Canis lupus familiaris: one gene and its partners. Each later gene encodes a partner of the first gene's protein in a complex. Links are inferred from orthologs where the notes say so. Each region holds a gene or a part of one and is shown in the gene's direction. Other genes may lie near its edges.

Region 1 (4,267 bases):
ATTAATTTGCCTAAAAGCCAATATCTACATCATGTCTAAATTCGGAAAGGGCAATTGACTTTAGTCCTAGAGACCCATAGATGAGAAAACCGTAAGATGAGGATGCTATTCCAAGAAGTCTTATTTTTCTTTCTTCCCTAAGTCTTAAGACTTCCAGTCAGCCGTGCTGCCCCTGTATGTCTATCTTCTACATTATTCTCTAATGTTCCCCATCCCCACACCATCCGTCTACTCCCCCAATCTCTTTCTTAAATATAAAACCAAGTATGTACATCAAAGTATTTGTAGCTCTTTTTAACTTAGTGATTATCTTCAAAACAAAAAAACAAAAAAACAAAAAAGAAAAAAATTAAACCCAACCTCCCTCCCCCCCCCCCAAAAAATCCCACCAAAGAAAATTAAGTCATTTTTAATGGTACATGAACTTGGATTTGATCTTATGTTGTGTTTTTTCTTTTTGAGAAAAAAAATTCCCCAAACTTGCTGTACAGAGATGGAGGATAAGCAAGTGGCAAACATTTTGAGAACTGCCTGTATCACTACACAGACAGACAGACACACACACACAACTAGAAGAAATCTGATATTTGTCTGGGCCCGGAGGTGGGGGTGGGGGTGGGGGTGGGGGCGGGGCATCTCTGCGCCCTACAAGGGCGGTGCACGGGATGCGCCTCTGCACCCCGTCCCCTCTATTCATGCCCAAAGCGGGGTTTACACAATTTTAACGGGTGTAGGATTCCAAACTGAATGACAGTTAACTTGGCTTCCCATACGCCACACAAGAAACCAAAGTCACGCAATAAACAAGATACAAGAGTAAGAAGTTAAAGAACCAAATACCCAGTCGGTAAGTGCCTGGTAGGGGTCCGCTCTGGGTGCCTACTACGTCCCTGCAGTACAGGGGTCTCTAGTTTGTTCAGAGATCCGTCGGAAGAAGCCGTGTCTGGAGAATCTGACAGCGTTCCACAGAAGTCCCCCCCCCCCTTTTTTAAATATTTTATTTATTTGTTCATGAGAGACACAGAGAGAGAGAGAGAGAGGCAGAGACACAGGCAGAGGGAGAAGCAGGCTCCTCGCAGGGAGCCCGATGCGGGACTCGATCCCGCATCCCCAGGATCACGCCCTGGGCTGAAGGCGGCGCTAAACCGCTGAGCCACCCAGGAATCCCCAAAGTCCTCCTTTTCAAAGGAGTTTTAATCCGTCTTTGGCCCTTCCAGACCTCTCCTGGTTCAGCGACTAGAAGTTCCCGGCTCCTCCGGGCAGCCTTGGCCTTGCCAATCGTCGGTTCCTGGTACCCAGAGCCTGTTCTGACCTCCGCGGGGTCCTTCTCGCGCACCGCCCTCGGGCCCCTCCGGGTTCCCCGCGCCCCGCCCGCTCCGGGTCCAGCCCCGCCCCCTCCGGGTCCAGCCCCGCCCCCCTGACGCGAACGCGCTGCGGGGCGGGGCTTGGCGCCCCGCAGGCAGGCGGAGGTCCGGCCCAGGAGCTGCGGCCCAGCGAGACCCTGGGGAGCCCCCCTCTCGCAGGCCCCGGAGGCCGGGTCGCGGGGAGCCAGGCGCGGGCCGCCGGCGGTTGCGCCGAGGGAGCCCCGAGGGGGAGCGCCATGAGGGCGGACTCGGGGCTTCGGCCGGAGGCCCACCCGGTGAGCGGTGAGGGGCGCTGCGGCCACGGGGCGTGGCGGAGGCGGGGGGTGCAGCCCGATCGCCTCCGCGGCTCCTGGGGCGGGGCCGCCGCCTAGGGCTGGGGCCGCCGAGGGCCGCCGAGGGCCGCCGAGAGCCCCGCTCGCCGTGCACGCGCGTCCGCCCCTCGGATGCTCACAGGATTGGACCGGAGCGGGCGATGCAAGTTCGTCCCGAGGCCGGGAGCCGAACCCCGGGAGCCAGGCGAGGACCCGGGCGTGCCGATGCCCGGGCCTGAGTGGCCACGTTGCTGTGACGACGCCTCTCTGCTTAGCCTTCCGGGCCCCTGGGTGCCCCGGGGCTGCCAGCTAGGCCTCTCCTGCGGACTCCTCCCGGAGGGCCTCTAGCCACCCAGGGAGGAGACCGCAGTTTCCTGGCGGAGACCATTGATCATGGTCTTTCCCCACCGCCCTCGAACAAATCCCTGCAACCACTCGGAAACCATGAGCAGAACCGTGGTTGTTGCCCCACGCCCGCTGGAGTCTCTCTTCCCGGGCATGTCAGCCCCCCACGCCCACGGCCCCCTTTCCGCAGGGCTGCACTGCAAAGGCCCGACCGGCCCCCGCCCCCCCCCCCCGCCGCGTCCTGCAGGGAACCGGCTGAGTGTCCGCCAGGCCCGGGCGGCGCAGGCCGATGACGCACGGCGCCTGCGCGCGGCGGCCCGGGCGGGAGCCAGCCGGGGACAATAGCGAGCCGGCCGGGGGGCGGGGCGGGGCGGGGCGGGAGCCGGCCGGGGGGCGGGGCGGGAGCGGACTGCGAGCTCCCGGCTGCGAGCTCCCGGCGCGCGGCCGCGGGGAAGCCCGGCGTTGGACGCCATGGGAAAGAAGCAGGTGGTAAGCCAGCCTCGGTTCCGTTTGAGTCTCTGGGATTTTGTGTCCGGTGGAGCCCTCCGACTCTTGAGGAGCCGGAAGGTCGGCGGTGACACGTCATTTTCGCGGGAGTTTTGAAAACGTGCAAGCGTCGTGTGACCCGAAGCCTTGGGCAGGACGCGATCCGTAGCCGCCTGACGGTGGCTCTTTCCTGGACTATTGCTCTTTCCCGGTGGTGAGGTTCATCACTGGATAGTGTTGAGACAGCCTGCTGTGTCCTGATCTCGTAGCATTTGTATTAATACGCTGACCGCATGGATCGCTAAATGGGACGGTCGTAGAACCAACGAAAAAGAAAAAGTGTCTAAAAATGTAAACCCTTTTGAATCAGTGTCCCCTGCAAGCAGCATGAGACACTTGCAACATTAAACTGATTTCGAGACATTGCTGATAGTATTTTATTTTGAAAGATTCCAGAATGCGTCTCAACTGTAATCTCTCTGAATGGCAAACACAACTTTTCTTACCATTTGTTAAGTTTTTTGTTTTTTTTTTAATTTATTTTTTAGGGACGCCCGGGTGGCTCAGCGGTTTAGCGCCGCCTTCAGCCCAGGGCGTGACCCTGGAGACCGGGGATCGAGTCCCACGTCGGGCTCCCTGCGTGGAGCCTGCTTCTCCCTCTGCCTGTGTCTCTGCCTCTCTCTGTGTCTCACAAATAAATAAATAAAATTTTTAAAAATGAATTTATTTTTATAAGGTTTTTTTTTTTTTAATTCTCTCTGCCCCAAAATGCAGTCTCATACTGTATTCAGAGTGATTTTATCTTATTTTTTTTTTAAGTATGTTGCTATGTGGTTTAAAACCTCCCTTGGCTTCCCACTGAATTAAAATAAAACCTGGACACCTTTTTGTCTTTTTTTTTTTTAAGATTTTATTTATTCATGAGACACACAGAGAGGCAGAGACACAAGCAAAGGGAGAAGTAGGTTCCATGCAGGGGGCCCGAGGTGGGACTGGATCCCAGGCCTTCAGGATCAGGCCCTGGACTGAAGGCGGTGCTAAACCCCTGAGCCACCCGGACTGCCCCCTTTTTGTCTAAAAAGAGCCTAATTAATTAATCTGGCCCCTGCCTGTCTTGATAACTATGCTACAGCCCTACCCGGCTTGCTTCTTTTATCTGAAACCGTTTCTCCTAAAAGGCTTTGTATTTGCTCCCCTTTATCTCTTTTCTTCTTTCTTGTTCAGGTCTCAGCTCGGAAGTCTGAGAGACTTTCTGTAACTAAAATAGCACTCCACATTCTCCCTCATTTGTGTGTGTGTGATCTTCTAATACTTAACCACTAGAATGGAAGTTCCATAAAAGCAGGGATTTCTGTTTTGTTCTTTAGTGCATCTGTAGTACTTAGAACAGAGCCTGGCCTCTGGATAGAAAGGAGTATAGGAAGGAAGGAATTTTATATGAAATTTAGAAATGTTAGAACAATTTTAGAATTGCCCATCTGATTCTCAAGAGTACTTCCTCTGTTGCATTTGATAAACAAGGTTATCAAAAGATTTGAAGTACATGAAATGAAGATGTTCTGAGACTTTTACTTACAAGCGATTTTCTTTTTCTCCCCATAGCGTCCTCCACGAGCCCTTCCACCTGTGCCAAGGTAAACATAAGTTAGAGATTGTATCATTGAGTTTTAAAAATGCAAAATGAATAAAGTGAAAAAGTCAACTAGTTCCATTGCAAAATTATAATAATTCAGAGATGATCTCTTGAAAATTTTAGGAAAA
Region 2 (4,209 bases), on another chromosome or scaffold:
TTTTCAGCCCTGAGGCACACCCACCCTCTTCTATACCTGGGAACTTGAGACCAAGGTGTCTCTGGCTCAACTTCCTTGGAGATGTAGCCTCCAGTCTCCTGAGGGGGTGAGGGAGAAAAAGGGAGAGTAAGGAGGATGGACATATTTCTCAGGCTGTGAGGGGTAAGGGAAGTTCCTGAGGATCTTGCCCCTCCATATACAACCTTTCATATCTTCTTGCATTTTCAGCCCCCACCTGCCTTGATATCTGACTGTATTCACTTCCTGGGGAGGCCATAACAAAGGACCACCTACATGGTGAGAAATGTATTGTCTCACGATTGTGGAAACAAGAGGTAAGAAATCAGGTATTAAGAAATAAAGTATATTATATATAATATAATATAAAAGAAAAAAGAAATCAAGTATTGGCAGGATTAGTTCCCTCTGAGGGCTGTGAGGGAGAATGTGTTCCAGGCCTCTCTCCCAGCTGCTGGTGGCTTCAGACCTTCCTTGGCTTGTAGATGCTGTTTTCTCTGGGCCTTCACATCATCTTCTCCATGTGCATGTCTGTCTCTGTCTCCAAATCTTCCCTTTTTATAAGGACACATTCAGATTGGATTAGGCCACCCTAATGACCTCTTTATAAATTGACTGCCTCTGTAAAGACCCTTCTCTCTTCAAATAAGGTCACATTTTGAGGTCCTGGGGGCTAGGATTCCAGCATATCTTTTTTTGGAGGGGCACAATGCAGCCCATCACACTACTACTGAGCCAAATCCTGGCCTTCTCTGGAATCCTGCAGAATGAATGGGCTCATTTTCACATTCTTATGCCTCTCTGCTTCCTCCGTGCCACACAGATACACACACACACACACACACACACACACAACACACACACACACACACACACACACATACACAGCCTGGAGTGTGGATTTCCTTGGTCTCTTCATTCCATTACTCTTCCATCTGCTTTGCTTCTTCTCCCATTACCTTTGCTTTTTTGAGCCCTACCATTTATATCCTCTTTCAGCGATTTCAGTGGGATTCAAAGAATAAGCAAGGATTAATCCTGAGCATTCAGCCTCCACATTTAACTGGAAAACACTCCTGCACCACACTCGCTGGTGGCCAGCAGCACTACCACAGGACCTTTCTGCACATAAGCCAGACCTGTAATGGGGACCTTTCACGATTTTAAACCACCTCCCTCTGAGCGTGACCTGCCTTTTGCCAGAAATGCCCAGTGACTCTGATGACAAGAAGGAGGGTGTGGCTCCTAAAGCTTCCCCTAATTTCTGATCAGCTGCCCCAAGCCCATTCCTTCTTGTCTTTTTCCTGCCGGCTCCCCTCTGGAAGTGACCTGTCACTTTAAAAGAAAAAAAAAGTCACTGAGTGACCTCCCTTAGGAACGTGTTGCTAAGCGGGTGTTTTTGCTCCCAGACGGCTCTGCAGCCTCCCAGGGAGCAGCCCGGGAGCCGCCCCAACATCCAGCCTTTTTGGATTCTTTTAGAAGATTCAACAGTAAGACTCTTCTCTCTCCACTTTCCTTTCGTCCCAGAAAGCGGAATCTGCAAAGTGCTTTGTAAAGTTCCTTAAGGTAATCCTGTCTTACCGGGAGCAGGGCTGCAGCAGTGGTGTCCTGCCTTCAGTGACCCGGCCTTGGAGCTCAGCTCCCCTCGGCACCCTGAGCGGATTTAATGAATTGTAAGTGTAAGGGTTCCCATCACTATGATTCAGGTTTTGCTTTCTGGAATTGACTCCCTAGAGCATTACTCGGGCTGCTCTGATTTAAGCGGCTGTCTGGTGTCTGGTTTGCAGGAAATGGAAGTCTGGCTCATCACTGCCCCTGGGTGGAATTCCTCCCAGATGGTCATTCTGCTTCCTTCCTGGGACTTTTCGTGCCATCTTGTTGCATTTCAGTCTCCGTCCCAGAAACATTTGCTGCCTGTTGCATTTCTGAGCCTTTCAGTTCAAATTGGTTCAAGGGCAAAGTGCTAGCTAGCTATCGCCACCTCATTCTGCTTGGCATTAGACAGAGAAACAGCCATTGCGGACAAAGGGAAGAAGATCACCATTCCAAAAGACCACAAGAAAATCTGCTAGCTGTTTTACTTATACTACTAGTTGGCCTTCGTTGCAGAGAGGCACTATGGAAAGCTAATAAAGTCTAATGGGAAATACATGTCTGTTATTGGATTTTCATATAACCTCTTCTGCAAATAAATTCAGCTCCAGAATAAAATATCTCTCTATGCCTATGTCCTAGAGCTCATTTAAAGAGTCGTTCACGCCAACACATATCCAGCATGAACGATGCACCAGCAACGTGCTGGAGTTCAGAGTGTACAGAAAAGCATTAGACCAGATCAGAAGCTCAGAGTTCACTCGGAAGACAGACCTATGAACAGACTCTAACAGTACAATGAGCTAAGCGCCATCAGATATTTATAAAAGAGTCGAACGTGCTTGGAGCACAGCTGACTACTCCCAGGGAGGACCTGGGAGCCCTTAGTTCATCATGTAAATGCACGGGGCATATACCACAGAGTGCAGCGCAAGTATGGCATTTATATGTAGTCTTCTAGGGCAATGTGTGTTATATCAAGCTGATTAAATAATTCTATAAAGCGATATGTCACTAACTTTATACAAAGGGAAGCTGTGGCTGGATTACCTTGTAGAAGTAGATACGGAATTTAGAAGGGGGGTGTGTGGCATCTGCCAGGTTTCCAGGCTCCTAGCCTAACAGTCTAGGCCAGAAAAAGCTTAGCACAGTACACAGAGAGGAAATGCCCATGGGTGTGTGGGGCCGGGGTGAGGGCTGCTTCAGAAGCACCAGAGAGAAAGAAAACTGCCTTGGGCCTAGCTAGGAGAAGGGAAAGAGAGGAATTTGAGTTTGGGAGCTCAGAAGTTGAAGGTGGGGAGGGTGGGAGCTGAAGATGGTAATGGGGGACTTGAATATCACCTAGAGTCTTTCTTATGATTTCCCTTCTGTCCTCTAAGCTCTTTTTCCGTCCTCACTCCTTTCTTCTACTTCCCCTCTCTAATAGCACCTTGTTTTAATAATAGCACTTAACCAATATCGAGAGCCTGGTCTGTGCTAGGCATTTTACCCACACACTCTATCACCTAGCTCTTCTAGAGTAATCACTCTTAGAGGTAAAAATTATCATCATAAGTTTACAGGAGAAGAAATGTATCTCAGAGAGGTGAAGGCATGGCCTCGAGACTACATAGCTGATAATAGAACTAGAATTGGAACCCAGGTCTCACTATTTCTATACACCCAAGTTCTCACTGTTTTAGAATAGGACTCTCATAGTGTATTATTTTTTAAGCAGCCCAAGTTGAGATGCCATGCATCTCGTATCATATACCTTCATTCTTTTCCCTACATTCTGTAGAAGTTGTCACAGAGTCCTCTGGATATGACTGAGCTACTCATGACCCTCAGAGTCCATTTGTTTGGATAGAGGTATCAGTATTTCCTAGAAAAATGTCTTTGGATTTCTGCATTAAGTTAAATAAATCATTGACCTGAAGTAGCCAAAGCCTTTTCTCAGTGGGGCAAGACTCTGTAAGTTTTCAATTTTACGAATTTCTAGGACAGTGAACTAGCATAGGTGAGTCATTGATATCATCACAAAAGCAGGAATAAACAGTGAGAAAGAGAGATAGAGCAGCCTGGGGAAGACTGAAATCACCAAGTCATGGGGTCACATTCTGAATGTGACATTTAATGACCATGACTTTGGACAAATCCTGTGACCTGCCAGAAGCCAACCTCAGAGGAAGCCTTGGTACCTCACATGTAAACTGAGGCATGTACAACCGAGCTGGAAGTACTGTTGTAAGGTCGGGGGGATCATACATCCAGAGATAGCACAAAGTAAGTCTGCAGTAAATTGTGCCTCTTATTTTGATGTTGCCAATAGGAATATATTAACAAGTGCTCAATGCATTTGGCGATGACAAGCTGCATATTAAAGTCAGGCAGTATTGATTTATCTTTTCTTAGGAACTGTGCTCACGAAAAAATAAATTTTGATGTCATTTGATTTCCTGAGAAACTCATTCAAGGTAATGATCAGGAAAGAATGAGGAGAAAAAAATCATCTCTGTTCCATTTTTCATTTTTACTTCTGTATCTTTCCTATATAACTTTTTTTTTAATTTATTGAGAAGGAATCTTTCTGTCCTAAAATACATCACAGTTCTTTTT
Region 3 (4,012 bases), on another chromosome or scaffold:
GTCAAAATCTTATGGCTGGGGCAGCCCTGGTGGCCCAGTGGTTTAGCGCTGCCTTCAGCCCTGGGCATGATCCTGGAGACCCGGGATCGAGTCCCACGTCGGCCTTCCGGCATGGAGCCTGCTTCTCCCTCTGCCTGTGTCTCTGCCTCTGTTTCTCAAATAAATAAATAAAATCTTTAATTAAAAAAAAATCTTATGGCTCATATTGTCGATTGAACCGCGGTGAGGACCCTGGATAGTTTTTCCGAAGGATCAGCTCTTGGCCCCCTCAAGCATCTATGTAGTTAGGATCTCAGCTGCATTATCTAAAAGCTATTTCTAGGTTGCCTTCAAAATAGAGGCATGGCCTGCTGGATTCCGCTCTGACCACAAACCTCACACTACCTTTTGGCGCTGCATTGTGATCCTTTTAGGGCCTCCTGAAGAACTTGGCTGTTGACCAGGGTACAAAAAAAAAAAAAAAAAAAATTCCTTCTGCCATGTTCAAAATACTGGTTAGAGGTGAAAGCATTCAATTAAGTGATAAGCCACTATCATCTTTGGGGGGGGGGGTGGCACAGCTTCCCCTAAAACCGGTGGCCAAGCTTGTCCCCAGGATAAGCTAAGGAAATTCAGCAGAGAGAGCCACGTAGTAATTACCCTTTACCCCTGGAAGAGCTGGGAGAGTTGTGTCCCGTGTCTGCGCCATCCTGCTGTGGAGTAGAGAGAAAGCAACAAAGTTCGGAGCCGCAGGGAGCCGGCCTGGCCTTCCAGCGCCACGTCCAGGAGCACAGCCACGTTCCTCTTTTGCGTTTTCCTGCGACGGAAGGTGTGCTGTGACTGGCCGGATTCAGGTGTGAACCACAGTGCGGATTAACGGAGGACACGCGAGCCGGTAACGACTTTAAGCCCACTTTTCTGAAAAACCTTCTTTCCCACAATCGTTACCACCGGAAACGGCTACGATTCTGGGCCCTGAACACGCCGCGCGCCCACTTGGCCTTTGGAAAACTGCGCGGCACGCGTCGAGCGAGGACGAACGCCCGCCGGCCGGCGCCGTCCCCGCTTAGCCCCACCCCCGCCGGGGCCCCGCGTCCTTGCTATTGGTTCCCGTCCCTGCGCCGTCGGTTGCCGTGGAGACCGAGCTATGGCAACCAGGAGAAGCCAAACTTGGTCCTCCCTCGCGAACCGCGCAGGGCTCCCCGGCGAGCGGCCGGAATCCGCGAGGCGGTCATGGCGCTCTACGAGCTCTTCTCCCACCCGGTGGAGCGCGGCTACCGCGCGGGGCTCTGCTCCAAGGCCGCGCTGTTCCTGCTGCTGGCCGCCGCGCTCACGTACATCCCGCCCCTGCTGGTGGCCTTCCGGAGCCACGGTGAGCTGCTCGCGGCCGCTGCGCGCACAGCTCCCCGCGGCCGGCTGCGCCCGCGCCCGCCTTCCTGACCTGCTGTCCACCGCCCTCTCCACCGCAGGGTTGTGGCTGAAGCGGAGCAGTTACGAGGAGCAGCCGACCGTGCGCTTCCAGCACCAGGTGCTGTTCGTGGCCTTACTGGGACCCGAGCGAGGCGGGTTCCTCGCCTGGAGCACCTTCCCCGCCTTCAACCGGCTGCAGGGGGGTCACCTGCGCGTCCCGCTGGTTTCGGTGCGTGGTTCCCGCCCGGGGCCTAGAGGGCCCCCGGGACTGGGCGGGGGGGGACGGGGGAGCGGGGAGAGGGCGACCAGCTCCGGCCGTGGGAAGCCCAGCGTGGGTGTTAGGGGTCCCTGAACCCACGGAGGTTGTGTACAGAGACGCGTGGGCTTGGGCGTGGATTTCATTCCCGGGAAGTGACTCTCTTGTTTCACTCGACTTCCCCAAGCCGTCCACAGCCCCCAAGAATGTTAGCCCCTGCTGTCACCATGTGTCCCACAGAAGCCTGGGGATAGCCTGTCTCTGGCCCTCTTCATTTCCGTGGGCCTGGCCTGATGAATGCGTGGTCGCGAAACTTTCTTCAGGAGTCACGAAGGCCGAGTGGTGTTCTTATTAATTACCCCAATTTTTCGGTGCAGTTGTGCATCGGAGCAGCGGCTGGTTGGACAGGCATTTTTATGCAGACCTAACACGTGGAAGAGGCGCTGATTGGTTCATCGATCTACCCAGAATGTGCTTGGATCCCAGTCCCGCCTCTCTGAGCTTGTAGAATTAGATGCTGCTCATCTTGCAGTTGTCCAGGATGAAAAGGAGGCGTTTTACTGTCTTTAATTTAGAATTTGGTTCAGGATGAGTGAGTACTTCCTTTGCAATCATTACCTTTCTGCTCATTTCTGAAAACATTTTCCTCTAGAAGTATGAAAATTCTACTTTTTCTTCTTCCAAAGCTGAATCTCTTTGCATATCTCAGAAATGATTGATCTACAAGCCAACTTGTGTAGCTGAAAAAAAATTCAGACTTTTTTTAGTAATTAAGTGAAAAAAAATTTTTTTAAGATTTTATTTATTCATGAGAGACACAGAGAGAGGCAGAGACACAGGCAGAGGAAGAAGCAGGCTGCCTGCAGGGAGCCCAGTGCCCACTCGATCCCAGGACCCTGGGATCATGACCTGAGCCAAAGGCAGACACTCAGTCACCAAACCACCCAGGTGCTCCGAAAAATTTTTTTTTACATCTGATTGGTCATATGAATAACTACAAACAAAATACAGTTCAGATTACTTTTTTCCTGATTTTTCTGATTATAAAAATGCATATAAAATATATAATACCTAAATGTAAAATATTAAAGACTTACAGGTATATATAATGACATAAAATTAAAGTTTGAGTTTGATATATGTACATTTATTAATTCTTTGAAAGATCTGCATAAAATTTTCATTATAGGGAAAAAGTAATGGATTTAACTAGTTCCCTGTTGGTGGGTTCATGATGGGCTTTTACTATTTTCTTTCTTTTTTTTGTTAAGATTTCATTTATTTATTCATGAGAGACACACAGAGAGAGAGGTAGAGACATATAGGAAGAGGGAGAAGCAGGCTCCATGCAGACAGACTGATGTGGGTACTCCATCCCAAAACTCCAGGATCATGCCCTCAGCCAAAGGCACACGCTCAACCTCTGAGCCACCCAGGCATCCCAGGATTTTACTTTTTTCACTATTAAGGAGCATACTGCAGTGAACAAGATTCTACTTTATTTTACTTAGAGACACAGGCAGAGGGAGAAGCAGGCTTCATGCAGGGAACCCAACGTGAGACTCAATTCCGGGTCTCCAGGATCATGCCCTGGGCTCAAGGTGGTGCTAAACCACTGAGCCACCCGGGCTGCTCTGGATCAGACCTTTTAAAATGATTTTAAAAAGTAAAACTGGAATAGGAGACAAATTTGCCTCAATAACTCCTCTCTAATCATGATCTGTTGCCCATTTTCATTCTTGAGATGATAATGCCTGTGGGGAAGTGTGACTACGGAGAGAGGCTGTGTCAAGGTATGCTTTTCACGGTATACTCACTGTATTTCTGGTGTTCTGCATGCATGGGTTTCCTTTCCAAAAGTGGAAGCAAAGGTTTTCTTTATTCCAAACAAAAGATGTACTTTATTATTATTATTTTAAATTTTTAAAATTTATTTAATTTATTATTTTTTAGAGAGAGAGAGTGCAAGCAGAGCGGGGTGGTGCAGAGGGAGGGAGGTGGAAGAAAGATAATCTTAAGCAGGCTCCACACTGGGAGGAGGTTGCTTCCACAACCCTGAGATCATGACCTGAGCTGAAATCAAGAGTCTGATGCTCAACCAACTGAGCCATCCAAGCGCCCCTTGTTAGTTTTCCTTAGGTTAGCATTACCAGTCTTTTAAGTTTTTGTTAGAATTTTTTGGTTTTTTTTTTTTTTCATTACATTTGAGTATTCCTCTCTATCATACTCTCAGGTTACTTGAGTCTAAGTGTGCCCTCTCTCTCTCTCTCTCTCTCTCTCAAATAAATAAATAAAATGAAAACTTAAAGTAATCGTGAAAGCAAGGAGAGAGCATTAGGGTTCATTCATTTGTTCATCCACTACAAC
Region 4 (3,500 bases), on another chromosome or scaffold:
GTATTAAATGAGTATTTTTGAAAGATTAATGCTTAATGTTAAGAAAGCTCTGGGTTGGTAGCATGTAAAATTTGGGTTTTCTGTTTTAGAAAAGTAAATGAAATTACAGTTAGCGCTGAATTACCGATGGGAGGACTTTTCACACTATGCTTTGTATCCTATTTGGCATCTTCCAAGTACCTGGTAACATCAACATCTACCGGGCACACTCACCCAACTTTTTTTGTTTTTGTTTTTACCCAACTTTTGGTTGGTATGTACTCAGAAATTGGAGACTCATTTTAAAGATTTATTTATTTATTTGAGAGAGAGTGAGCGAGAACAGGGGGAGGGGGCTCAGAGAGAGGGAGAAATTCCAGGAGACTCCGTGCTGAGTCACCCAGGTGCCCGTACACACTCATTTAATGTTAGCATAAATAAACCCATTTCTGAAGGATAACATGCTGCTAAAATCTTGGAACAAACCAAGGCGTGGTAGGAATCTTCTTTGGCTTGTTTGTACCACTGCTCCCCTCCCCAACACATATAATTGTGAGATGGCTTTACCTCTTAGATTCAGGTCCCAGATGAGGTTTCAGAAGGAAGACTTGCCTTCAGTACCTGATCCCATGTGGCCCTGACCAGTTGGGTCACAGGGCACTGCTCTCTTTTCCTAGCACTGTCAGAAAATGACCACTGCAGCCCGGGAGGTACCATCATTTTTGGTTGAACGAATGGCCAATGTCAGGCGACGACGGCAGGACAGGCGAGGGATGTAAGTGCAAATGAGCACGGGGGCTGGGTGGAGGGGCCTTTGTAGTCCTTCTAGGCCAGTGTCTGGGTATGTCTACCAACTCGAGCTCCCCGTCCTGCATAGGCCTCGCCCCTGGCATGCTCTCCCAAGTGCGGGCTTCAGGCTCTTCAGGGGGTGCCTGGGAATTGACACTTCCTGTGGTGCCTTTCAGGGAAGGCGGCATCCTCAAGTCACGAATTGTCACCTGGGAACCCTCAGAAGAGTTTGTCAGGAACAACCATGTCATCAACACCCCTCTTCAGACAATGTACATCATGGCAGACCTTGGGCCGTATGGAAAGTGAGAGAAGTCCCTCACCACCCAGCTCAGATCCTCCTCTTTTCTCTCTATCCATCACCTATCCTGTTATAGTCACCTTGGGGTATGTAGGAGGGGGGGACTTTTTCTTTTTCTTCTTGATTGTGCTTAGAAGAAGGTATTTGACTATGATAATTCTCACTACAGCCTCTGTCCTCTCCCCTGGCATGGGCCGACTACCTCCTCCTCTCTGGTTGATGGGACCAGCGGTCCTGAACCTAGGTGTTGATTTCCTGGTTTCTAGACTTGGCTATAAGAAGTATGAACATGTCCTCTGTACTCTGAAGGTGGACAGCAATGGTGTGATCACAGTAAAACCTGATTTCACTGGCCTCAAAGGACCCTACAGGTGAGGAGAAGAAAAAACCGGGAGTGGGGACTGGCATTCATTCCTTCCCTTGGCTTCACTCCCCCTAGTTAAGGGGATTCTGAGAAAATCCTTCATCTGCCCTGATTTCTAAATTCCCAGCCAATAGTTCATATTCTGTCTTATAATAAATCCTTAAGATCCTGGGGACTCTGTTCTAGGAAAGTGTGCAGCTATACCAGTTTGAAAGGGCTGACTTCAATGGTGTAATTAAGTGAAAATAATTCTCTGTGCTGCTGCCTGTAGGACCAGCCAGAACAGGATGGGGTGAGCTCAGACAGATCGCTTCCTCTGGGCCTGACTATTCCTACCTCTATGTCTTACAATAAGAGAACTATACGTTAGAAATGATCAAGGTGAGAGAACTGGGTACCAGGATGTTGTGCTTTAGGGTTTCCCCATGACTTTGAGGCAGAAATGGGCCCCAAACCTATGCTGTGTGTCCACTTTAATGCCCCTTCTGCTTTTCCGCTTTGTTTCCCTCGCCTGCTCATCATTCTGGCCACTTTCATCCTCGTTTGCTTCAAGTGAGGCGTATGGCCAATGATGGGTCATCCCTGAGCTAGGTCTGGAGAGACACATTTCTTCTTACCATAGTTGGTCTTTTTGTGTGACTTTGACCCTACAGAATTGAGACTGAGGGGGAGAAGCAGGAGGTGTGGAAGTATACAGTGGACAATGCATCCTCCCTCGCACAGCCAGAGGAGGAAGAGCGGGAACAGCGTGTGTTCAAGGATGTAAGAGCGAGTTCATTCCAAGTGCAGGGATGAGCCTTGGTGCCTGAGAGCTGAAATCATGTTCGGGGTCAATGTTCATAGTTGCAGGGTCTTTCTTACTGGTCCTCTCCTGACATAGGAAGCATTGCTGACATATCAAGAACTTTTGATCATACTATAACATAATAATAATAACAATGACCATTTGTTTGAGTACTTACCGTGCTCTGCGAGGCCCTTCACATACTTTTTCATTGAGACTATACAACAACCCTCTGAGGCGAATGCTTTTATTATTACCATTTTTATAAACGAGGAAACTGAGATTGAAAAGCTAAGAAATCTGCCCAAGGTCATGGGGCTTGTAAGTGCAAGAGCCAAGGCTGGGTCCCAGACCAGCAGACTCCAGAGGCTCTGTACTTCACTTTAAAATGTCAGTGGCTTAGATGCTTCAGCTTCCAGTTGTCTGTGGCATTTCCCATTACAGCTTCTTTTCTCCCTCTCATTCAGAACTGACCCTGGTCTGGTTAGGGTTGCATTTTGAGTTTGAATATGGTTTGTTTCCTCAGCTTTATGGCCGGCACAAGGAGTATCTCAGCAGCCTTGTGGGCACGGACTTTGAGATGGTGAGTGGCCTGGCATCCCGCAGCACCATGAGCTGGGATTAGCCAGAGCATTTAGAATGTGGCTGAGTAATAGCATCTCTTTTAAAGGACATATTCTCTATGCCAGAAGGAAATCAGAGAATAGCATATAGAACAGAGTTCTTGTTATGTGTTACAAAATAAAGCAGAGGTGCCTGGGTGACTCAGTCAGTTAAGCATCTGATTCTTGATTTTGGGTCAGGTTATGATCTCAGGGTCATAAGATCAAGCCCCATGTCAGGCTCTGTGCTCAACATAGAGTCTGCTTGAGATCCTTTCCCTCAACCCCTTCCTCCCACCCCCCTTCAGAGAGCTTTCGCGGGCTCTCTCTCTCTAAAAAAGTAAAATAAAATAAAATATGGTATATTAAAAAAGAACGGTTAATGAAAAAGAAGATGTCAGTGAAAAAAGTCTAGAAGGGTACACACATGCTATGGGTGGCTTTCTCTGGGGTGGGGATAGGGGTGGGAAGGTAGATGGGTGTTGGGTAGTGAGAGGGATATGTCAGGGATGTTTACTTTTTATTCCCTAAACTTAGTGGTTTTAAAATTTTACCATTGGTAATGCATTCACATATTACTTTATAATTAATTTTTAAGATTAATAGAGGGGATCCCTGGGTGGCTCAGCGGTTTAGCACCTGCCTTTGGCCCAGGGCGCAATCCTGGAGTCCCGGGATCGA
Region 5 (4,098 bases), on another chromosome or scaffold:
GGGGGAAGGGAGTATGACCAAGTCCCTGGAGAGCAGACCTACACTCTGAGCTGTGTTGTTGCGGTGGGGACCCCACCCATCTGGCCTCCTCAGCCGCAGCATCTCCCATCAGACTACCCACAGCCCCCTCCCCTAATCAGTTATCCTTGCTCAGCATTCCGGAAGAGGTCAGTGGTCCAGGCTGGCCTTGACTCTTCCCTCCCTCTCCTGCACAGGTGTCTGAAGGGAGCCCCCCTGGTCTGCTTCCAAGCTAGCAGCTGGCTACGGTGGGACCACCCCCTGGGGTCCCTGCTGGGGGCATGGCCTCCTGGAAGTCTACACACCTGTGCATCCCTTCCTGGATCAGAGATAAGGTCTCTAATGCCACTTTGACAACCTGGCCTGGGACCAGACAGAGGAGGCAGTGAGGCTCTTTAGCCTGTTTAGTCCTGGATGTGAATGCTGATTCGGCGACTTACCTGCTGCTGTGACTGTGGCCCAGCCACCTCCCCTGGGAATCTGCTTCCTCTCTGAGTAGTGGCCATGTATTCAAGTATTCATTCATGCAGCACTGTTACCAGGGCTTCTATGTGCCAGGGAACTAGAACTCAAGATCCGCGTGGCCGCTGGGCTCATGGAACAGCGGGCTGCCTAGAGAGGGGAGTCAGGATAGTGATCAACGTGCAAATACAAACCACAGTGTGTGCTAAGACGAACCGGATCGATGTGTTAACCGAAGCTATGACCACTCGGGGCGGCCAGGGGGTTAACCGGGCAGTGCCGTGGGTTCTGGCTCAGTCTTCCTCCGACGGCTGGAAGACTGGGATGCCAGGTGCTGCTCCTCCGTGGGCCTCCGTTTCCCCCTTTCACACCGAGGAGCCGTAACTCGGTTGTTTGAGGCCCTCCCCAGTTTGTTTAATACACTTTTGGTGGGGGGCAGGGGCCTCAAAGCCCCAGGGGACCCGCCGCAGTCCCCAACCGGGGACTCCGCAGAACCCGGGCGGCCCAGCCCCGGCCCGACTCGCGGCCTTCGCGCGCGTCACCTCCACTCGCGGCGGCGATCCAGCTGCACCGCGCAGGCTCCCCTCCGCGCGTCCCCGCCGCCGTCCCCCCGGTAGCGCCACAGCGCCACCTCGCGGCGGAGGGCATCGGCCCCACTTGGCTTCCGGCCGGCGGGAGGCAGGGCGCGCCTCCGCCCTGCGGGTGTGACCCGAGCAGCGGCGCGGCTAGCTTCTACACCGCGGGCGGACCGTTCCAGCTCCGCCCCCCGCCCCGCCCCGCCCCCAACCGCCGGCTGCGCTTGCGCACTGCCGCACCCGTGCTTTCTTTCGCGAAGGTGCCTTCCCACGAAATGTGTCCCACGCGCCACGCCGTCGGTTTCCAGGGCAACCCGGCACCTCTTAGCAGCCCCGCGCGCCGCGGGGGTCGTTTCCTGCGCCCCCAGCCCTGCCATGGCGGCCGCGGGCCCCAGCGTCTTCCTACTCATGGTCAACGGGCAGGTGGAGAGCGCCCAGGTGAGCGGCCGGGGACCCCCGCCCGCCCTCCCCCCAGCCACCCGCGGGGGCCCGTCCCGCCACCTCCCGGGCTGCTGCGTGGCCCCGGAGAGGCGCGTCTGTCGGGTCAGGCGGGGGACGGGAACCAGCGTCTGAGAGACCAGGCCTGTGAGCCCTGGTTCTGCTCGTGTCCGCTCCGTGGAGTCCCGGGCAGGAGCCTAGCGGGTGTAAGGGGAGGAGCGGAGACTCGCCCGGGTTGCTGGGCCCCGGCCCCCCAGCGCTCTGCACTCTGAACCCTGAGGTCCTTGCATTTGGGTTAGGATGGAGGCGACCTGGTGAATGTGCGCCAACGACGGGGGTGGTGGAGAGGTCCGGGGAGGGTCTGTCGGGTCTGACCGACGCGGACGCTGCTCCCCATCGCCTACACTTGGGGAGACCCATTTGTCGTATTCACATGCATATAAGTGCACCACGAATTCGCCACGTGCCGGACTCGGTGCCCAGCACTGCGCATTCGGCCCTCACCACAACCCTGGGAAGTGGGTGTTACTAGCATCCCCATTCTACAGATGGGGACACTTGCCCAAAGGGAGTGGCAAAGCTGAAATTTGAACCCAGGTTGCCTGACACCAAAACTTTGGTTCGTTACCCTTCCAGGCTGTTGGAAGATGGTATTTATTGTATTGTGGGGATTAAGTGAGATGGTTTGGGCAGAGCTCTGCCAGGACCTCTTACTAGGTCTCTCTTGCCTCCCTGTTTCATCGGGATAATGCTCCCGTGTTCCCACCCTGTCCACCTGCCCCTGGCCTAGCGTCCAAGACTGCCTTCCCTTCTTCTGTTCTGTCCCATTAGGGGCCCTTGGCTGGGCTGGATCATGCCTCTCTGCTCTGTCAGCACCCATGCCACTCCCACTGTGCCTCCTGCTCAGTTCTGGGTTCCTCCCTCTCTCCAGGCCTTGAGCTCCAGCCCTGTGTATACTTCATGTCCTGATAGCATCCTTTCACTTCGGCAATGTTCCCTAGATCTCTTCTGTGCCCCCTTGTGCCAGGCTCTGGGGGACACAGAAAGGTCATTGCACTTGTTCCCTCTTCACAGTCAAACAGGGTTGACAGAAATAAAGGAGGTATCAAAGCTTTGGTGGAGGGAAGGACCAGGGCCTGACAGAGCTGGGGGTGGGGTGGACCTTAGAACGTTTTGAAGGATGAAAGGGAGTTTGCCAGATGGAGGAATGGGACGGGCAGGGCAGCCCCGGTGGCTCAGCGGTTTAGCGCTGCCTTCGGCCCAGGGCATGATCCTGGAGACCTGGGATTGAGTCCCACGTTGGGCTCCCTGCATGGAGCCTGCCTCTCCCTCTGCCTGTGTCTTTGCCTCTCTCTCTCTCTGTGTCTGTCATGAATAAATAAGTAAAATCTTAAAAAAAAAAAAAAAAAAGGAATGGGAAGGGCATGTCAGACAAGGTGGAGCCTGGGCAAAGGCTCAAGGGTGGTTGCAGCCTGGGACTGTCCCTTGGACTCCCACATCTCAGGCCCCAACCCTTCCACTGAACTCCGTGTCCCCATCCCCGGCTGTCTCTTAGACTCTACCCCAGGCACCCAGTGTCAGCATCCCTATTGGCTGCCCTTAGCTAGCCACCGCGGTGCCTCCCCCTCCACAATCCCTGTAAACAGAACCTGTGTGTGCTTCTTCCTACAGTTTCCTGAGTATGATGATCTCTACTGCAAGTACTGCTTTGTGTACGGCCAGGACTGGGCCCCCACGGCGGTAAGCTGGGCTCTTGGGCCTCCCTCCCTCACAGCCTCCATGCTTAATGGGGTTTCTGAAGGTGTCGATGTCCACCATACCCCTTCGTCTTCCAGTTCAGAAACTGTTGAGAGGTAGACACCGAGCTCAGGGGGTTCCAAACATGACTTTGTTCCTGGTAAAGCTGGAGCAGAGAAGGTGGAGCAGCCACCTTCAGGCTCCTGATCAAAGCTGCGGTCGCTCACACACCCTGTCCTGGGAACTTGCACTTGGCAGCAAAGAGGAACGTGTGGGCGGCACAGACCCCTGAGGGCCAGCCTGGAAGTATCTGGGCGGTAGGTCCTCTGTCCCTCTCCTAGCCCATGAGGAGGACTCTGGGAAGTCAAGAGGCCGAATAGAAGCTCTGCTTGCAAGACCGGCCTCAGAGCAATCTGTCTCCACAGACAGCCAGGCCAGAGTCCCAGTTTCGTGGGGCGAGGTAGACAATAAGTACTGATGTTCTAATATGTTCTAGGAAAAAGTGCCGGGGACAGAGTAAAGTCAGGAAGGGAGGAATGGAGGGTAGAGAGAAGCTGGAGTCTAGGTAAGGTGGCCAGGGAAGGCCTCCCTGAGATGGTAACTTTGGGTAAAGGGTGAAGGCAGGAAGGGAACAAGCCACACGGAGGTCCGTAGGGAGAACTGTGCAGGCAGAAAGGGCAGAGGTAAAAAACAACAACAACAACAACAACAAGAAAGGGCAGAGGTGCACAGGCCCTGAGGTGGGAACGTGCCTGGCGTGCCCAGCATGCCCAAGGCACAGGGAGGAGGCCTGTGTAGCCAGTGAAGAGCATGAGCAGGGATGAGAGTGGCTGGAGATGGAGCAGGGGGGTTGAGGATGGGACAGGCC
Region 6 (4,005 bases), on another chromosome or scaffold:
ACCAACTAACTCCCCCCCATTTATGATTTTGAGGTGGTGACTGACTACTCGTGTGGTCCCATTTTGCTAGAAATAGGAACATGAGGCTCCTTCGGTCCTGGTCTGGGCTGGAGGAATAGGGACAGACTAGGGGTTCAAGTGGATTTTGAGGGTGGAGGATACACTGCTCAGGTAATCAGTGCCTCTGACTCAGTCACTCTACTTGCACCCATTGCACGGATGAGATAATTGAGACCTGGAGCTGCGCAGAGAGTCACATGACACGTTACTGGCTGAGTCCAGCCTCCAAGAACTAGGTTTTCTGCAGATAAAGGGGCCTCGGTTCCTCATTTCTCATACCCCTTCCCCCACGCTCCCCATCCTTGCTCAGAATCAGTAACAGCGAACTGGGCGGCCTTCCGGAGAGGGAAGTTGCATTTATCAGTACTCGGGGAGCCAAGGGAAACTCTAAAAAAAGGAAGGAAAACCCCCTCCCAAGCTTGAGTCTCTCTGAGGGAGGAAGGATTTTTTTTTTCATGATAAGGCGGGGGGGCGGGGGGGAAGCACGCCATGACCTCAGGGAGCTTCCCCCTTGCTCCTGGCTCAAGCGTCTGATCTCGGTCCCGGCTGGGAGAGTCTTAGCATGGCCAGATGCGCGCGCTTATTTTGTGCGGAAGGCGTCCGGGATTAGCAGTTGGCGCGCAGGCTTCCTCAGCCACACTCAAGATGGCAGCGGCCCGACCACGCCCCACATGGCGGAACCACGAGTCGCGCTGGGAGAGCCACTCTTCCCAAAATGGAGAGAGAGGGGAGAGAAAACGCCCATCACACCTTAGCCCCGCCCTCGCTCCCTGCTCGGGCCAATTAACGGCCCGCAAGGCGGGTGCCAGGCTAGGAGGAGGCTGTGGTTGCCCCAGCAACAACCAGGGAGCCCGAAGGCGGGCGCAGCCTCGGAGGGACCGGCGCCTCGGGTGTCTCGCTGCCAGGAAGCTCGTGGGAGAGGCGCGAGCCAAGCCTAGGAAGTCGGCGTCCGCCGACAGAGGGACAGGTTAGGCGCATGAACTGCACCCCACGCTGCTGCTTCGCCCCACCTAACCGTTAGGTGCTCTGAGGTAGGAATAACGCATGCGCGGGCTTGGGGGCGGGGCTCAGGCGGCCCTGCACTTAAGACGCATGCGCCTCGCGGCGCTCGGACGCGAGGAGGCGGGGCTTTGCGCCTGTGGGCGGGGCCTCAGGGTCTTGGGGCGGGGTTTTCCGCCGCGCTGAGCCAAAGGAAGAAGTTATCTCAGAGGCGGGTAGTTAGTTAGAAGCCAGCTCCTCGCCCAGCTCTCGGCCCGCCCCCCTCATTTTTCCGGGGCTCTCTTGGGGAGGCGGTCAGGATCGTGGTTAGGACTGCAAGCTCAGTAGTTTGACGAAACTAGCCGGGAATGCTAGTGCTACGCCTTACTTGGTAGGCCTCAGTTTCCTCATCTGTCAAGTTGGCGATGATAGTACACACTTCACAGGGCTGTGATTATTTTTCTCTCAGGGCCATGGCTGAGGTGCACGTCATCGGGCAGATCATGGGGGCCACCGGTTTCTCGGAAAGTAGCCTCTTCTGCAAGTGGGGCGTCCACACAGGTATTCCCGGGCCTGGCTCATTTCCCCTCCCCGAGTTTCTGCCCTTCTTCTTTGACCTGCCCTGGCCTAGTCCCTGATCCGCATCTTCCATTGGCTCCCAGGACTCCTAGCCACGACCATACTCTGACGGTGTGACTCTCACATTGTTCTTCCCATCCCTTCCCTCTGGGGGCTCTGGCACCCATCTCTGAACCCGTAGCCCCTGAAGATGGGGCTAGACGCCCCCCCCCCCCCCACACACACTCCCAATCCTCAAAACACTAGGCTGCTTAACCCCACTGGACTTGGTCTTAGGGGTGCGCTGGGTCCCTCCCCTACTCTGCTTTCTTTGCTTTATTGAGTTCCGACTATAAAGTGGACCTCCATCCCCGCTGTACAGAGAAGAGGCCACCCTCCTGTATTCATAATTCTCTGTGAGGATGTAGGAGCCCCTTGGATCAGCTATCCACGTTCATTCACACAGGCCCAGGAGGGACTTCAGAGGCCCCCGTTTTCAGGGCTTCCCATCAGAGGCAGTATAGTAGCCAGTGTAACAAGTAGGGCCATGGGCCACCAGATCTGGGCTCAAATACTAACTCCCTCACTTATTGATTGGTGGCCTTTGGCCTTGACCTCTCTGCTTTCTTCTCTAAAAATGAAGCTAATAGCAGCTAAGAGGCAACATAGTGTTGAGGTTAAGAGCGGACTGAGTGTTAAATTAAACTGCGTATTAATTTTGTGGCCTTGGGCGCTCATCTTTGCCTTGATTTCCTTATCTGTACAATGGGAATAATAACAGCGCTTACATCATGAGGTTGTCCTGAGGACTAAATGAAAATCAGGAGCACTGAGAAGAGGGCCTGGCCCAGTTAAGTGTTTGCCTGGCTTATGTAAAAGCCGAATGGACTTCTGTTAGTAAAGCCTCGAGTGTGCTGCCTAGCGTAGAGTAAATGCTCACGAAGTGAGTGGCTGTTGCCATCATCCTCTCTGGAGGGCCTGGGCCCTTTGCAGTTTCACTGGCAGGTAGGATGTTGGCTGAGATTCCCAGGGAAAGGGGGTTCCTGCAGCTCAGCACATAAGAGGCAGGCTCCGGAGTCAGACTTGGTTTCCAGTCTGGACCCCACCACTCACCTGCTCTGTGACCCTGGCCAGGTGCTGCCCCCTCTTGGAGTCTCATTTTTCCTCATCTGTAAAGTGGGAAAGTGGGAATCTTTGTCTTTCAGAGGGGTGTTGGGAAATCTCGTATGTGAAGAGCCTGGTACTTTCCTGGCCCAGAAGGGAGGGATAACTGACATGATTTTTATTATTTTAGGGGGTTTCTTAGTGGGGGGGGACAGTTAATCCAGCAGCAAGCTCAGGGGCATCCACATAAAGGGCTTGGACCCTGCAGTCGAGATCACAGTTTGAGTCCAGCACCACCACGGGATGTTGGGCAGCTGCATTCCTGCTGTGCTCCAGCCTGGATGACCGTGCTTGCACACAGAGGCATTCACTAGGTGTTCATGGAATAAGTGGCCAAGTGACTTTCCTTCTCAGAGTCTGTTTTTTTTTACCCGTAAAATGGGGATTCTATTAACACCCACCTCCTAGGAGCACTTATTTGTCCAACAAACACTTATTGAGCACCTTCTGTGTACGAAGATCAGAGTTTGAGGTCCCGGGGACCCAGCAGTGTAGAAGAGGCATGCTCTCCTGGGGCTCCCAGTAGAGGAGACAAAATTTTTTTTAAAAAGCAGGTAAGGAAATGAGCACAGGGATCACTGACAGTGGTCACTATGGGAAGAAATGAGAGGAGATGACGTGATAGGGACTAGTGTTCGGATAGGAGGGTGGGGGGGGCACCCCTCTGTGAGAGTGGCACACTTGGGCCGATCCCTGAAGGAAAAAAACAGGCACATCCAGGAGCCGAGCTTTCTGGGCAGAAGCCAGAGGTGGTGCAAAGGCCCTGAGGAAGAGGAACAGAAATCAGGCCAGTGAGGCTAGAGGGTAGTGAGGGATGGGGAGAGTGGTGAGAGATGAGTTCAGGAAGGGGGCACAGGAGGCCACACCAAGCAGGGCCTTGTGGGCTTGGGGGGGGGGGAGTCTAAACTGGGGGGTGGGGTGGGGATTAAGAGACCCAGAGGGCAGATTAAATGAATTCATGGCTAAAGCGCTTAGCACAGCGTCTGGCTTTTGCTATTATTGTCACCCCCAGGACTATTGCTATTACTATGTGCCTTTCACCATGTGCTCAAGCTCCTGAAGGCCACCCTGGGCCCCATTTTAGTCCTTGGACGAGGCCTCTAATGTGGGGTGAGAAGAGTGACAAAATGCCATCCAACGCTTATCCAGTACTCACTGTGCCCCAGACACTGTTCTGAGGGCTTTCTGTGTATTGGCTCATTTAATCCTTTCACAAAACTATGAGGGATGCGTTATTATACCCAT
Region 7 (3,113 bases), on another chromosome or scaffold:
AGGGTATGCTGAAGAGGGGTGTGTCTGTAATTTAGAGGGATTAGTTTTTGTATGAGGTTCGTTTGTGAGATTAGTGTTTATGTATTTTACATGTTCATTTTATAGCCTCTATTTACATAGAACTCTATAAAGGAGGTAACGATCTTTATCTGTTCAACAGGATTCATATTAATATTCCACATTTAATCTATACCGGTAATGTACAAAAAAGTCAACAGGCTGTAATGGCAAAATGATAAAGTAATTGAAAACTATATAACACATCCCCAAGAACTAAATAGTATTAAATAGTATTATGATGAATATTTCTTTTCACCATCAGCAATTATAAATAGGCTTAAAATTTGGAGCTTTGTTGAACCAACCCCGTAGTTACTAACTTTAAGAAACGAAAGGACCTCTAGGGCATTGACCAGGATTAAGAGTTTGTTCTTTTTCTCTTTCTTTTGTAGATAATGAAATGGTATCTAGTTTGGCGTTGCAGATGTCACTTTATTTTAACACTTACTTTTTCCCACTTTGGTGGATAAGCAGCGTTATGATGCTTCAGATGAAGGTAAGTCTATGCTTTTAATACTTCTGCTGAGATCTTTCCTGCCCCTCCCTGGCATTGTTACATTGTCAATAAATTACAGTTCTTAATATCTGTTTTCTATCCCAGGTCAGTTTTACTATCTATGAGATTTTTACAGACATGCTAATTTTTGTGTTTTGCTTTGTTTTTTAGTATTCAATCTTGCCTGATTACTACAAATTTATTGTGGTCACTGTTATCATCCTAATAACCTTAATTGAAGGTATCAGGTTGTATCTGGGCTACATGGGGAACCTACAGGAAAAGGTAGGCTCTTCTTTCCTTTGCTCAGTGCTACATATAAAGGCAGTATGGTTTTCATAGCAAGGAAAAGGCAGAGAGATGTGGTAAAAGGAGCAAAGGCCTGCCTGCAGCTTTACTGTTTCTGTCACTGTAGTCGGTTTGCTGAATCTCTTGAGCCTTGGTTTCTTTGTATATAAAATGGAGAAAATATTTACTCCACCGTTTGTTGGGATTAAGTGAAATAATTTATATAAAGTACCTGAACATAGTAAATACTTAAGAATTGACAATTTCCCCTCTTCTCACCATTGTTGAAAATACTTGGTCAATTAAACATGTCTAGATTCAGGAATCCTGTGCCAGGCACATGCTTTCTGAATCGTCATGCTGCATAAGCATCCACAGCTACCAGAGTTTAGGGATGCTGCCTAAAGATTTCTCTGGTTTTCCAGGTCCCACCCACAGGCCTCACTGTATTTCTTGCTGTTTCCTAACCCAAGCATCCATTCCAGGCTGACATGTTGATTCCTAGTTGTGCTCATTCCACATCTTTGCTTACTTACCTTCTTAAGCCTCTTCTTCCTTCTACCCAACCCTAAAAGCTTACGTCCTTGGGTTCTTTCTTTTACCTACCCTAAGTAGTCTCTTGTCTTATTTCTTGTAGTATTTAGTTCATACCTCTAAGTGGTGCATTTCATTATTCACCAAGGTATGTTGTTCTAGCATTGCCACATCAGTTAGTTTTCACCTTTAATCAAGACTGTAAATCCTTTGAGGACAGGGACCATGTTATACTCCTTTTGAATTACAGAGCTCATAATGTAGGTTTCAGAGTGCTGATCCGTATAAACAAAAGACTGTCCTCTACTGATGTGATTACTCTTACTGTGTGTCATTGCAGGTTCCTGAGTTGGCTGGCTTTTGGCTTTTGAGCCTCCTATTGCAGCTGCCTTTAATTCTCTTCTTGCTCTTTAATGAGGGCCTAACAAATCTGCCCTTGGAAAAAGCGATACACATCATCTTTACTTTGTTCCTTACTTTCCAAGTTGTTTCAGCCTTTCTTACCCTGAGGAAAATGGTAAATCAGTTGGCGACTCGTTTCCACCTCCAAGACTTTGACCGGCTCTCTGCATATAGAGGAGGCGTGAGAAGAATGAGATCTTGTATAGAAGAGATTTGACCCAGTGCTGTTGAGTGAAAAGCTGAAAGGTCAGCTTTTCCACAAGAGGAAAATATCAGAGTTCTAGCATGAGGAGAACAAAGCTAGTGTTTTGAACTATATATTCTTTAGCTTTGAAATTGCAAAGTTGGGGGTAATAAGACTGTATAGTACATGAAAGCAGTGAGTCAACCCTAAAGCCTAAATAGTGTCCATTTGGCACCAGATTTCTTAATATTCTTGTTGACTTTTCAGGTGTGTAGAAGTCTGTGTTAGTAGTCACAGTTTACGAGCTTTACGGGAATATTTCTAGGTAGCACCTAAAACTAGAAATGTGTATATTTCTGTTAAACTTGTTGGCTATTCATGCCTTGGCAGTACGTCTGAAGCACATGGCAATTCTTGTCAGTATTCTGATGTATTATATATTTGTAAATCTAGATACCGATTTTTCATGTCTGCTAGGGTTAAATTCTAACCCTACTCCTAGCTTTTATACTGAAGTTAAAAACCGGTGGATTATCATGGTATTTGGGAAATCATAAAATTGTAATTTTCATAAAACCATGTTCAGTATTTATAGTCATGATGTGCAAAATGTCTTTATAATAAATTATGAAATATTTATGTTAAAGTATTTGCAACAAATTATTCCTGTCTTGTATAATTCTTTTGGGCTGTGGGTTTATTATTTTTATTACAGAGTTGCAAGGGAAAGAGAAACATATATACAGGGTTAGCCTTTTATGTAGTGGGCACTGGGCTAGGCACATTAACCCTTTTCACCTCATCTACTAGATCATTGTTCACTGAAAAACTCATAGCCAGTAAATTCACACCCGGCTTGATTTGAAAAGCAGGGTGCTTGTTAATAGTACACAGAGCTGAGATGAGCAAAGGGACAATAGTCATGATCTTAAATGAGCACGTTCCCTCGCTAATAGGAGAAATCTATTTAGGGAAGTTCTGTTAAGAACAAAGCTGCATGGGTATATCTGAACATTATTTTTATTATTGGATTGTGTTAAGAGATATAATATTTTCTTCTTTCCTACAGGGAAATGTGCCTTTATAAGTAATGTATTTTACTGAGAGACAGTTGTAGCTACATTAAAAAGTATTCTCTCCAATTTTCCT

The links.
Region 2: TMEM237 (region 1) and CC2D2A share a complex: the UniProt entries of both Homo sapiens proteins name them as parts of the tectonic-like complex. The link is inferred for Canis lupus familiaris from reciprocal best matches to the Homo sapiens genes TMEM237 and CC2D2A.
Region 3: TMEM237 (region 1) and TMEM231 share a complex: the UniProt entries of both Homo sapiens proteins name them as parts of the tectonic-like complex. The link is inferred for Canis lupus familiaris from reciprocal best matches to the Homo sapiens genes TMEM237 and TMEM231.
Region 4: TMEM237 (region 1) and MKS1 share a complex: the UniProt entries of both Homo sapiens proteins name them as parts of the tectonic-like complex. The link is inferred for Canis lupus familiaris from reciprocal best matches to the Homo sapiens genes TMEM237 and MKS1.
Region 5: TMEM237 (region 1) and B9D1 share a complex: the UniProt entries of both Homo sapiens proteins name them as parts of the tectonic-like complex. The link is inferred for Canis lupus familiaris from reciprocal best matches to the Homo sapiens genes TMEM237 and B9D1.
Region 6: TMEM237 (region 1) and B9D2 share a complex: the UniProt entries of both Homo sapiens proteins name them as parts of the tectonic-like complex. The link is inferred for Canis lupus familiaris from reciprocal best matches to the Homo sapiens genes TMEM237 and B9D2.
Region 7: TMEM237 (region 1) and TMEM17 share a complex: the UniProt entries of both Homo sapiens proteins name them as parts of the tectonic-like complex. The link is inferred for Canis lupus familiaris from reciprocal best matches to the Homo sapiens genes TMEM237 and TMEM17.

What each region holds. Positions count from the first base shown.
Region 1 is NC_049258.1:10,565,182-10,569,448, reverse strand, and holds the start of TMEM237 (transmembrane protein 237), read left to right. Parts: upstream 1-1,467; 5' UTR 1,468-1,600; coding exon 1,601-1,639; intron 1,640-2,409; exon of another isoform or gene 2,410-2,491; coding exon of another isoform or gene 2,492-2,509; intron 2,510-4,108; coding exon 4,109-4,140; intron 4,141-4,267. UniProt on the Homo sapiens protein: Component of the transition zone in primary cilia. Required for ciliogenesis.
Region 2 is NC_049224.1:65,396,170-65,400,378, reverse strand, and holds the start of CC2D2A (coiled-coil and C2 domain-containing protein 2A), read left to right. Parts: upstream 1-1,409; 5' UTR 1,410-1,691; intron 1,692-4,209. UniProt on the Homo sapiens protein: Component of the tectonic-like complex, a complex localized at the transition zone of primary cilia and acting as a barrier that prevents diffusion of transmembrane proteins between the cilia and plasma membranes.
Region 3 is NC_049226.1:75,821,463-75,825,474, forward strand, and holds the start of TMEM231 (transmembrane protein 231), read left to right. Parts: upstream 1-1,212; coding exon 1,213-1,351; intron 1,352-1,448; coding exon 1,449-1,618; intron 1,619-4,012. UniProt on the Homo sapiens protein: Transmembrane component of the tectonic-like complex, a complex localized at the transition zone of primary cilia and acting as a barrier that prevents diffusion of transmembrane proteins between the cilia and plasma membranes.
Region 4 is NC_049230.1:32,842,118-32,845,617, reverse strand, and holds part of MKS1 (Meckel syndrome type 1 protein), read left to right. Parts: intron 1-656; coding exon 657-754; intron 755-944; coding exon 945-1,073; intron 1,074-1,238; coding exon of another isoform or gene 1,239-1,335; coding exon 1,336-1,440; intron 1,441-2,086; coding exon 2,087-2,195; intron 2,196-2,743; coding exon 2,744-2,800; intron 2,801-3,500. UniProt on the Homo sapiens protein: Component of the tectonic-like complex, a complex localized at the transition zone of primary cilia and acting as a barrier that prevents diffusion of transmembrane proteins between the cilia and plasma membranes.
Region 5 is NC_049226.1:41,067,626-41,071,723, forward strand, and holds the start of B9D1 (B9 domain-containing protein 1), read left to right. Parts: upstream 1-1,298; 5' UTR 1,299-1,430; coding exon 1,431-1,493; intron 1,494-3,164; coding exon 3,165-3,233; intron 3,234-4,098. UniProt on the Homo sapiens protein: Component of the tectonic-like complex, a complex localized at the transition zone of primary cilia and acting as a barrier that prevents diffusion of transmembrane proteins between the cilia and plasma membranes.
Region 6 is NC_049222.1:113,405,958-113,409,962, forward strand, and holds the start of B9D2 (B9 domain-containing protein 2), read left to right. Parts: upstream 1-1,205; 5' UTR 1,206-1,406; coding exon 1,407-1,429; intron 1,430-1,507; coding exon 1,508-1,599; intron 1,600-4,005. UniProt on the Homo sapiens protein: Component of the tectonic-like complex, a complex localized at the transition zone of primary cilia and acting as a barrier that prevents diffusion of transmembrane proteins between the cilia and plasma membranes.
Region 7 is NC_049231.1:63,645,677-63,648,789, reverse strand, and holds the end of TMEM17 (transmembrane protein 17), read left to right. Parts: intron 1-452; coding exon 453-556; intron 557-727; coding exon 728-841; intron 842-1,718; coding exon 1,719-1,997; 3' UTR 1,998-2,613; downstream 2,614-3,113. UniProt on the Homo sapiens protein: Transmembrane component of the tectonic-like complex, a complex localized at the transition zone of primary cilia and acting as a barrier that prevents diffusion of transmembrane proteins between the cilia and plasma membranes.